2 linked regions of the Cricetulus griseus genome follow. The protein of the gene in region 1 interacts with the protein of each later gene in a pairwise test. Links are inferred from orthologs where the notes say so. Each region holds a gene or a part of one and is shown in the gene's direction. Other genes may lie near its edges.

Region 1 (3,809 bases):
TGAGTTCTGAACTCAGACCTTCATGCTTCTACAGCAAGTATGTTACCAACTGACCTATCGTCCAGCTCCATTCTTTTTTATCTAAACTGACAGAAATAATATGCTTTTTTTTTCACATAGAACATGTTGATAAGAAATATGTATACATTGTGGAATGGCTAAATCAAGCCTATCACATATTGTACTATATACTTCCTTTCTTTTTATAAAACTCTTGAGCCGGTTGGTGGCGCATACCTTTAATCCCAGCACTCGGGAGGCAGAGGCAGGCAGATGTCTGTGAGTTCTAGCCAGCCTGGTCTATAATAGCTTGTTCCAGGACAGCCTCCAAAGCCACAGAGAAACCCTGTCTTGGGGGGGAAAACAAAAACAAAACAAAACAAAAAAACCAAAAAAAACCCACACACACTTGAAATCTTTTTGTTTTTCAAGACAGGGTTGTGTGTGTGTGTGTGTGTGTGTGTGTGTGTGTGTGTGTGTGTGTGTGTGTGTGTATAGCAGCTCTGGAACTCACTCTGTAGACCAGGCTGGCCTCAAACTCACAGTGATCCGTCTTCCTCTGCCCCCCATTTTCTGGGATCAAAGGTGTGTTCCAACACTGCCTGGCCTTATCTTGCCATTTTTAAGACTATAATATATTGTTTCTAGAAAGCAAACAGTCTTACCCACAGGCACTCTACCTCGGCAAAATTGCTGCTTCAAGCTTCATTAGCATGAGACAGGTTTTACTTTTGAATTCAGACAGGTCTTAAATTTATGGCAATCCTTCTGTTTCAGTTTCCCAAGTGTTGGGATTATAGACATGAGCCACCACATGTGACTTTAATTATTATTATAAACCTTGGCAAATTGGAAAAGTAAAACTTTTTCTTTGATAATAAATTTCAATGTCCTTAAATACTTATTTGATTATTCTTTTCTCTATATTTTCTTTTTAAGATTCTTGGATCTCTCAGTCAGCATCATTTCCTCGTAATCAGAAACAACAAGGGGTGGATTCTTTATCACCAGTGGCCTCACTTCCTAAACAGATATTCCAGCCTCCCACCCAGCAACAACCCACTAAACCAGTTAAAGTCACTTGTGCAAACTGCAAAAAACCTCTACAGAAGGGACAGACGGCTTATCAGCGCAAAGGATCAGCTCACCTCTTCTGTTCAACCACCTGCCTTTCTTCTTTCTCTCATAAACCTGCTCCAAAGAAACTCTGTGTTATGTGTAAAAAGTAAGATTAACCTTTCACACAATTTCATGTGGTTGAACAGTGATCATAAAAGTTTTTAGAAATTTCATTGAGACTCTTGGGGATGATTTCATGTTTTAAAATTATAGATTCAGCTTCCTATTTGGTAGGTTTGGGGCTAATTTGTTTAGGCCCTTGTAATTATTTTGATTGTCATCTCCAATGGATCTCTTGATTGTAAAAATGTGAATATTTACATTGTTTTACTGTTTTTGTTTTTTTCGAGATAGGGTTTCTCTGTGGCTTTGGAACTAGCTCTTGTAGACCAGGCTGACCTTGAATTCACAGAGATCCGCCTACCTCTGCCTCCCCAGTACTGGGATTAAAGGCGTGTGCCACCACTGCTCGGCTCTTGAGCCTCACCTCATAGAGGCTGACTACTACCAAATGCATTATTAAGAATGCATTGTATTTATATTTATGATCTTCTTGTTTTTTGAGTATTTGTTTTGAATGTTATAGTGTCATGACAGGTACTTTTTTTTGCTATCCTTAGAAATACAGTTTCTGTCCTATTTTATATCTGTTCTTAATGATAGCAAACAAAACTGGATGATATAATGTATTGCAGGGTCATATCAGATGGATTTTCTGTGCCCTCTTGGAGTTGCCTAAGTCTGAAGCTATTTTTAGGTATTAGACCTCCAAGAAGGGCTTAGTGCTTTATTCTTAAAGTAAATCTAAGCACAGTAACAATTGTTCAATAGAGTTTAGATTTTTTTTTTAATTAGTTTTATTTTATATGCATTGGTGTTTTGCCATAGTTATTGGGTTCCCTGGAACTGTAGTCACAGACAGCTGTGAAGCTGCCCTTCGAGTGTTGGGAATTAAATCCAGGTCCTCTGGAAGAACAGTGTTCTTAACCACTCAGCCATCTCTCCAGCCTGTGTTTAGATTATTTTATAATACACTTAAATACTGTAATGGAGAGTCTAGATATTTAGTATTTCTTTTAAAGTCAGTAGTGTCATATTTATAATAATAATAATAATAATAATAATAATAATAACAACTGTTATTTTTTTTGAGATATCTTGCTATGTAGTCCAGGCTATCTTGGAACTTTATGTAAGACATTCTGGCTTCAAACTTGTGTCAGTCCTGCTATTTCTTCCTAGTGCTGGGATTACAGGTGCATGCCCCCCTTATTGTATTTGTTCATCATTTTATCTAATTAGTTAGTTAGTTCATTCAAAGATTTATGTCAAAACAGGGTCTTATGTAATCTAGGTTAGCTGTATATTGAGACCTTGAACTCCTGATCCTTTTTTGCCTCTACCTTTTAAGTATTTGGATTATTGATGTGAGCCGCCATGCCTGGCAAGTGGTGCATTTAAGTAGAAAATATTTGATGTAAGCTGTGTGGTGGTGGTGGTGCACGACCAACAATTGGGAGACAGAGACTGGTGAGTTTCTGCGTTTGAGGCCAGCTTGGTCTATGGAGTGAGTTCCAGGACAGCCAGGGCTACACAGAAAAACCCTTTCTTGAAAACCCCAAAGGGGGAAAAAAACATCATGTAGTCTTTCTTGATGTTAAATTCCTATAATCTAGGAATTTTATGCTTACCTATTAGTCCAGAAGGCAAATTCAACAGTCACTATCTATCATTTTAAATAATTTGACTTTAATTCTATGTAATTATGGTAATTTTATTTTACTGTTTCCAATATCTGAAAGCCTTGTTAGTACATTTGATGATAAATTATTAGTGACAGGATCAAATATTTTGACTTTTTAATCTTTATTGCCAAGAGTTCATATTTTATACTAAACGTGATCTCCTGAATCTAAAAATGGTGTTTGATTTTCATGAGTCAATCTGTGGAAATTAAAAATATCAGGTATAACTTTTATTTTTGGTTTCTTTTGAAATGGAGCTTTGTAAGTTGTACCTCTTATTTTTTTCAGAGATATAACTACAATGAAAGGAACAATTGTTGCTCAAGTGGATTCAAGTGAGTCCTTCCAAGAATTTTGTAGTACATCTTGTCTATCTCTCTATGAGGACAAGCAGAGTCCTGCCAAAGGAACTCTAAATAAATCGAGATGCACAATCTGTGGCAAACTGACCGAGGTTTGTACTTTTGTATTTTTTACTTGCTCTCATGTGCGATCATTTTAGATGTTGACTGTTTCTCCCTACTTTTTTTTATGTGTATGTATCATTAGAAGTGAGGATATATAAACTCTTAGAATATTCTACTATTTAATCATAGTCTTCCAGAAAAATGATTCAGGAAAAATTACCTTGTTTCATCAGATTGAGAGAGCAGTCACAGAAAAAGTCATAGCGTTACGATTGCTCTTTTTCTTTTTTACTGGTCTAATAATATGTTTATACAAATAGGCTAACTACACAGGAAAGATAAACACAGGCAAATAGAAGTGGAAGAATTTTCAAAAAATAATAAATGCTGGGCGTTGGTGATGCACACCTTTACTTTAGTCTCAGCACTCAGGAGGCAGAGGTAGGCGGATCTCTGTGAGGTCGAGGCCAGCCTGGTCTACAGAGCGAGTTCCAGGACAGCCAAGGATTCACAGAGAAACCGTGTCTCAAAAAACCAG
Region 2 (4,577 bases), on another chromosome or scaffold:
CATTTCACGTATGTAGTTTCTAGTATTAAAAATGGGGTGGCCTGTCTTGTTTGCTTGCCATAGAGTGTTTTACAGCATGAATTCCACCAGGCTGTATTATTCAGCCCACACTACTTTTCTCTGGCAATGCCAGTGAATGGTTTTTTTTGTTAATTCTTCTACTTTCCAAACATAGGATATAAATTTAAATGATAGTCTCACCTCATTTCAATTCAGTTTTACATTCTGCAAATGAACATTTAATATTTGTCAAAAGACATTATCCAGGAGAATCTATTATAACGGAGTAAGAGTATTATTTATATCTGTGTTATTCTCAAGATGCAAACGGCAGTAAGCAAGCCTCAGCTCCCTAAGCGCTTTGGAGGAGACCCCAAAATAATCTCTGTTCACTAGAAGCCACAGAGGTCCGGTTTCTAAGACCCGCGCTGAAAACAGAATCAGCTTCCCTGCCTATTTATATTGCTAAAAGTGCTTTTTGTCTTATGTACTTTTATTTATATTTCAAAAACATTTCATCTGGGCTCGTTTGGGTACTTATTTAAATTCACACACTCAAACAAACTTCATTACAGCAAAAAGAAAAAAAAATCTCACCTTCCCAAAGAATTGCACAAAGCTTTTTTCTCACGTGACTGATGTTCGAGAGAGCAGGTAATTTGTGTTAAACAAGTGATTGACATGCTAGCCCCCGGGTGTTTTCTTAAGAGGAACCGTGGCGAAAACACAGTTCTCCTTGCAGCCACTTTCCCCCCAAGTGGACCTGGCGACAGGGACAACATTCCTGCAGAGACTGACAAGGCCTGAGGGAGTAAGTTCTTGCTCTCATCACTCTCTCCCGATTCCGCGATGCAGGGGAAAATCCCCCTGGCTGGAGGGGTTTCTGTTTCCTTGCAATCAGGGGTTTGTCCTTCAGCTGAACTTTCACCTTCCGAACTCGCCTTCTTTCATTGGACAAAGTGCAGAAGGAAAGGGGAGAGACCGAGGGAGGACCCGAGAGCAGGCGTGGGGCTGGAACGCCGCCCCTGCCGCCCTCCGCTCCAACTGTCACCCAGGCGAAGCACTTTCACTTTTAACTGGAGGAAACTCCATCTCCGCCTGTCCTCTCCCCTCCTGGATTTTGGAGCTCAGATCTTAGCGGAACCTCCCTGGCATTCCCCTCTGCGTCCCTAGTTGCTGACACTCCTCCTCTCCATTTCCCTGGGTCTGCATGGGTCCCTCTCCTCTTCTCCTGAGGGGACCCCTTCACCCCCCAGGCCCCTCATTTTCCAGCTCTTTCAATCCAGTCTCCCTTTGCCTGGGAACTGTTGTGGCGTTCCCGTCCCGGGTTTCGGGGCTCTGCCTCCCTCTCCTCTTCCCCTCCCCACGTCCCTCACTTGGCAATTGCGATTCTTTTTTTTTTTTTTTTTTCTTCTGCGAGCCCTGTTGTTTACCCAGCAGGTGGATGTGACGTCAGAGACGCACAACAGCAAAAAATAACAACATCTCCCTCCGCGACGCGATGGCCTCTCGCGCGCGCCTTATTTATTTATTTGTTCCGGGATGCCGCGGGGAGGGGGCAGGCGACCCAAGGGCGGCGTAGAGAGGTGTAGGTCGCTCTCGGGGGGTCGCGGGGGCCTCGGGAGTGAGCATGGCGGGGTTTGGACCCGGCTGGGGGCTGGGGCGGGTTGGGGGCGCCTCGCGGCTGCAACGCTGGCGCGACTCGGGAACGAGTCCCAAGCGGAGGAATCTATTGTTATTTATTGTGTGGCAGCTGCACGCTGTGCTCGCGGCCCGGCCCTCGCCCGCGAGTGCGTGTGTGCGCGCGTGAGTGTGTGAGCGGGGGGCGCGCGCGCGGGCGGGAGTGGGCGCGCGCGGGGAAAGGCCCCGAAAACACCTTAGTTTGCACCGAGAGACCATTTGCCGCGGGTGAGTTCGTATTTTTCCATTTCTGCTCCACTTTTTTTTCCCCAAGCCGCCTCCTGCCTTGTTTCCGCCACTTTAAACAACAACAACAACCAGCACCAAAAAAAAAAAAAAAAAAAAAAAAAAAAAAGGAAAAAAAAAAAGAAAAAAAAGATACAGAAAAAATTTCCTACTTTTCATCTCCAGGCTCCACGTGCATCTCCCCCAACCCTCTGTTCTTGACTCGCTCCCGAATCGGGGCCCAGGATCTGCGTGGGTGGGGGCCGCGCGCGGGCGCCGGTTTGGAGGAAGCGCGGGAGGCGCCCGCACCCTTGGGTTCATTTGCATAAGTCACTGTGGGGTGCGGTGGTGACCGCACGGACAAGCTCGTCTCCCCCTTGGCCCCTCGCGCCCCTGCGCTCGCTCACACCGCTCGGGTACAGCGATCAATAAGCCCAGGCCGCCTGTCGCAACTTTGAGTGCCCAGCGTCAGCGTTTGGTGGCCGCCTGGTACGGGTACCCGGAACCCGGCCGCGGTTGGCGGGGGCGTGCGGCATCCTCTCCCGAGCTCAAAGTTTGAACTTGGAGCAAACTTTTCCCCTGCTATCCAAGGGTGCGTGCCCCTTCTGTACCCCGGGCTGCCCGGCGAATGCTGGAGGGCTGAGCAGGGACGCCTGCGCCCTGGGCCCGGTGCTTGGCGACATCCCTGTAGCCACGCGTGTTTTGGTCCGAACTCAGCCGTGTGGATGCTCTCTAGCTAACCCCTGGGAGCCCAGAAAACTCATACACACACCCGCGCACCCTCTGCCAGACACGCACCCCACGCGCGTTCGGCCCCCGCTTGTCAGAGACGGCGCCCGCGGCAGCCGTAGCCGAATCGCGGGTGGGCATGGGGACAGGGCACGTCTCGAGGACCCTCGGCGCCCGTACTTTGGATCCCCCGCCACCATACACTTTCGCTTCTGACTCCTGCGCCTCTTAAGCTCAGGGATCTGTCCTGCTACACGCGCGTGCCACCGCGTCCCTCCGGCCCTGTCCCGGCCACCGATGGCTCTCCGTTTCTCGCCTGTGCGCAGCTTTCCTCCCGTGCTCTCGGCACTCGGTTCTTGTCCCCCGGAGACGTCTCTCCGGAGCCGACGAGACGAGGCGGCGCGCGCTTCGGGTGGGGACCGAGGCGGTGGCGGCGGCGCCGGGAGCCGAGGAGTTTGCCAGCTGCCGCAGGGTCGTGGTCATCTGCTGCCTCCGCCTTCCCTCGCCCCCGCCTCCCGCGCTCCCCCCCCTCCCGCCGCTCTCGGAAACTTTGATTCCTTGTCCCCCTCCCCACCTGTTGTGAGCTCCGCCTCAGTCCCCGGAGACTGGCGGTGACACACACGGGCGCCAGGGAGCTCCGAGCCCAGAAACAAAGTCGCATGCCCCCCCCCCCTCCGTGTTTGCTTGGAAATTGCTGCCTGCAGCACCCCCATTCCCGCGCAGCTCCCGCCCCCTGGGAGCCTTAAGGACTAAATAAACAGTTGTAACTCCAAACCTTGCGCCTGCCATCGCAGCCCTATCCCACCCCTTTCCCCCGGTTCTGCCCCTCCTTTTTTGTTGTTGCAACTTTGTAAGATCCCGGGAAGGTGCTGAGACTAAGGCTCAGGCCGCGCTCCGGGTCTCCGGATCCCTGCAGGGATTCCCGGCCGCGCATCCTCCTCCCCTGTCCCCGAGCGCTTGGAGGTTGCCTCCTCTATCTCTGGTCTCGCCCCCTTCCGCCTAATCACCTCGTCCCCTTCGATCCCCCCCACCCCGAAACCTTCACGGAAGGAAGACTTGCTGAGGGTCGTCCCGGTCTCTTGTCGGTCACAGACCCCGAAAGTTTGCCCCAGGAGGACGGCGCGCGGCGGGCGAACGGGCGAGGGGCAGCGGCGGCGCGGAGAAGCGTGGAGCTGCCGGCGCCTCCTCCCCAGACTCGGTGGGTAAGTCGAGGCGGCCGTGGCAGGCGTGCGGGCGGGGGGAAGCGGGGAAGCCGAGGCGCTGTACCAACCAGCCTGGGCAACCAGATCGCTGTGACCAGCCACGGGGAGCAAGGAATGTGTCCATCAGGCTGGGACCTGCTTTCTCCCTTTTCTATCACTTTCTTCCCTGAATCCGATATCAAAGTTAGCGTGGAATGTGAAGTGTAAAATGGTGACATCCCTTGCTCTCAGCCCGCTCCCCCCTTATAACTATTAATTATTTCCAAGCCATTGTGTCCAATACTCTAGCTGGGCTGATTTCAGTGTATTGATTTAGGCTAGGCTCATCCTACGCTTTCATCTTAATTTATTTTCTTATTGCTTGACTAGAGGACCCAAAATGAAACTTATTCCTTCCTTTTTCTGTCCCCCCCCCCACCAGCCCCTTCATCTGGGTGGTTTAAGTAGAATAATGAAATTAATATGAACACTTCATTTGAGCTTCTTCAGCACACTGCTGAGGGCTCAGGATTGCTCTCACGGCAGGCTCCAGGTATTTTCCAGGATCAGATTTCTTATTCTGTCTCTCCTCTTTAAGCAAGAAGGCTGCGGGAACATTTTGGGAGCCCTATGCACTTCACCTTCCTTGGGCCATAGCCTGGAAGAACTTACAAAATAGCTAAGCTGAGAAAAACACCCAAGGATATCTAAGGAATTTTTTTCTGTTCCTGAAAATGTTTTGGAGTATCCTAAATTCTTGCC

What was found.
Region 2: the proteins of Zmym2 (region 1) and Foxp1 come close enough for resonance energy transfer, tested with the Homo sapiens proteins (2 studies listed by BioGRID). The link is inferred for Cricetulus griseus from reciprocal best matches to the Homo sapiens genes ZMYM2 and FOXP1.

The regions. Positions count from the first base shown.
Region 1 is NW_023276807.1:211,964,492-211,968,300, forward strand, and holds part of Zmym2 (zinc finger MYM-type protein 2), read left to right. Parts: intron 1-939; coding exon 940-1,225; intron 1,226-3,152; coding exon 3,153-3,318; intron 3,319-3,809. UniProt on the Homo sapiens protein: Involved in the negative regulation of transcription.
Region 2 is NC_048601.1:44,450,075-44,454,651, forward strand, and holds the start of Foxp1 (forkhead box protein P1), read left to right. Parts: upstream 1-1,752; 5' UTR 1,753-1,908; intron 1,909-3,726; 5' UTR 3,727-3,836; intron 3,837-4,577. UniProt on the Homo sapiens protein: Transcriptional repressor. Can act with CTBP1 to synergistically repress transcription but CTPBP1 is not essential. Plays an important role in the specification and differentiation of lung epithelium.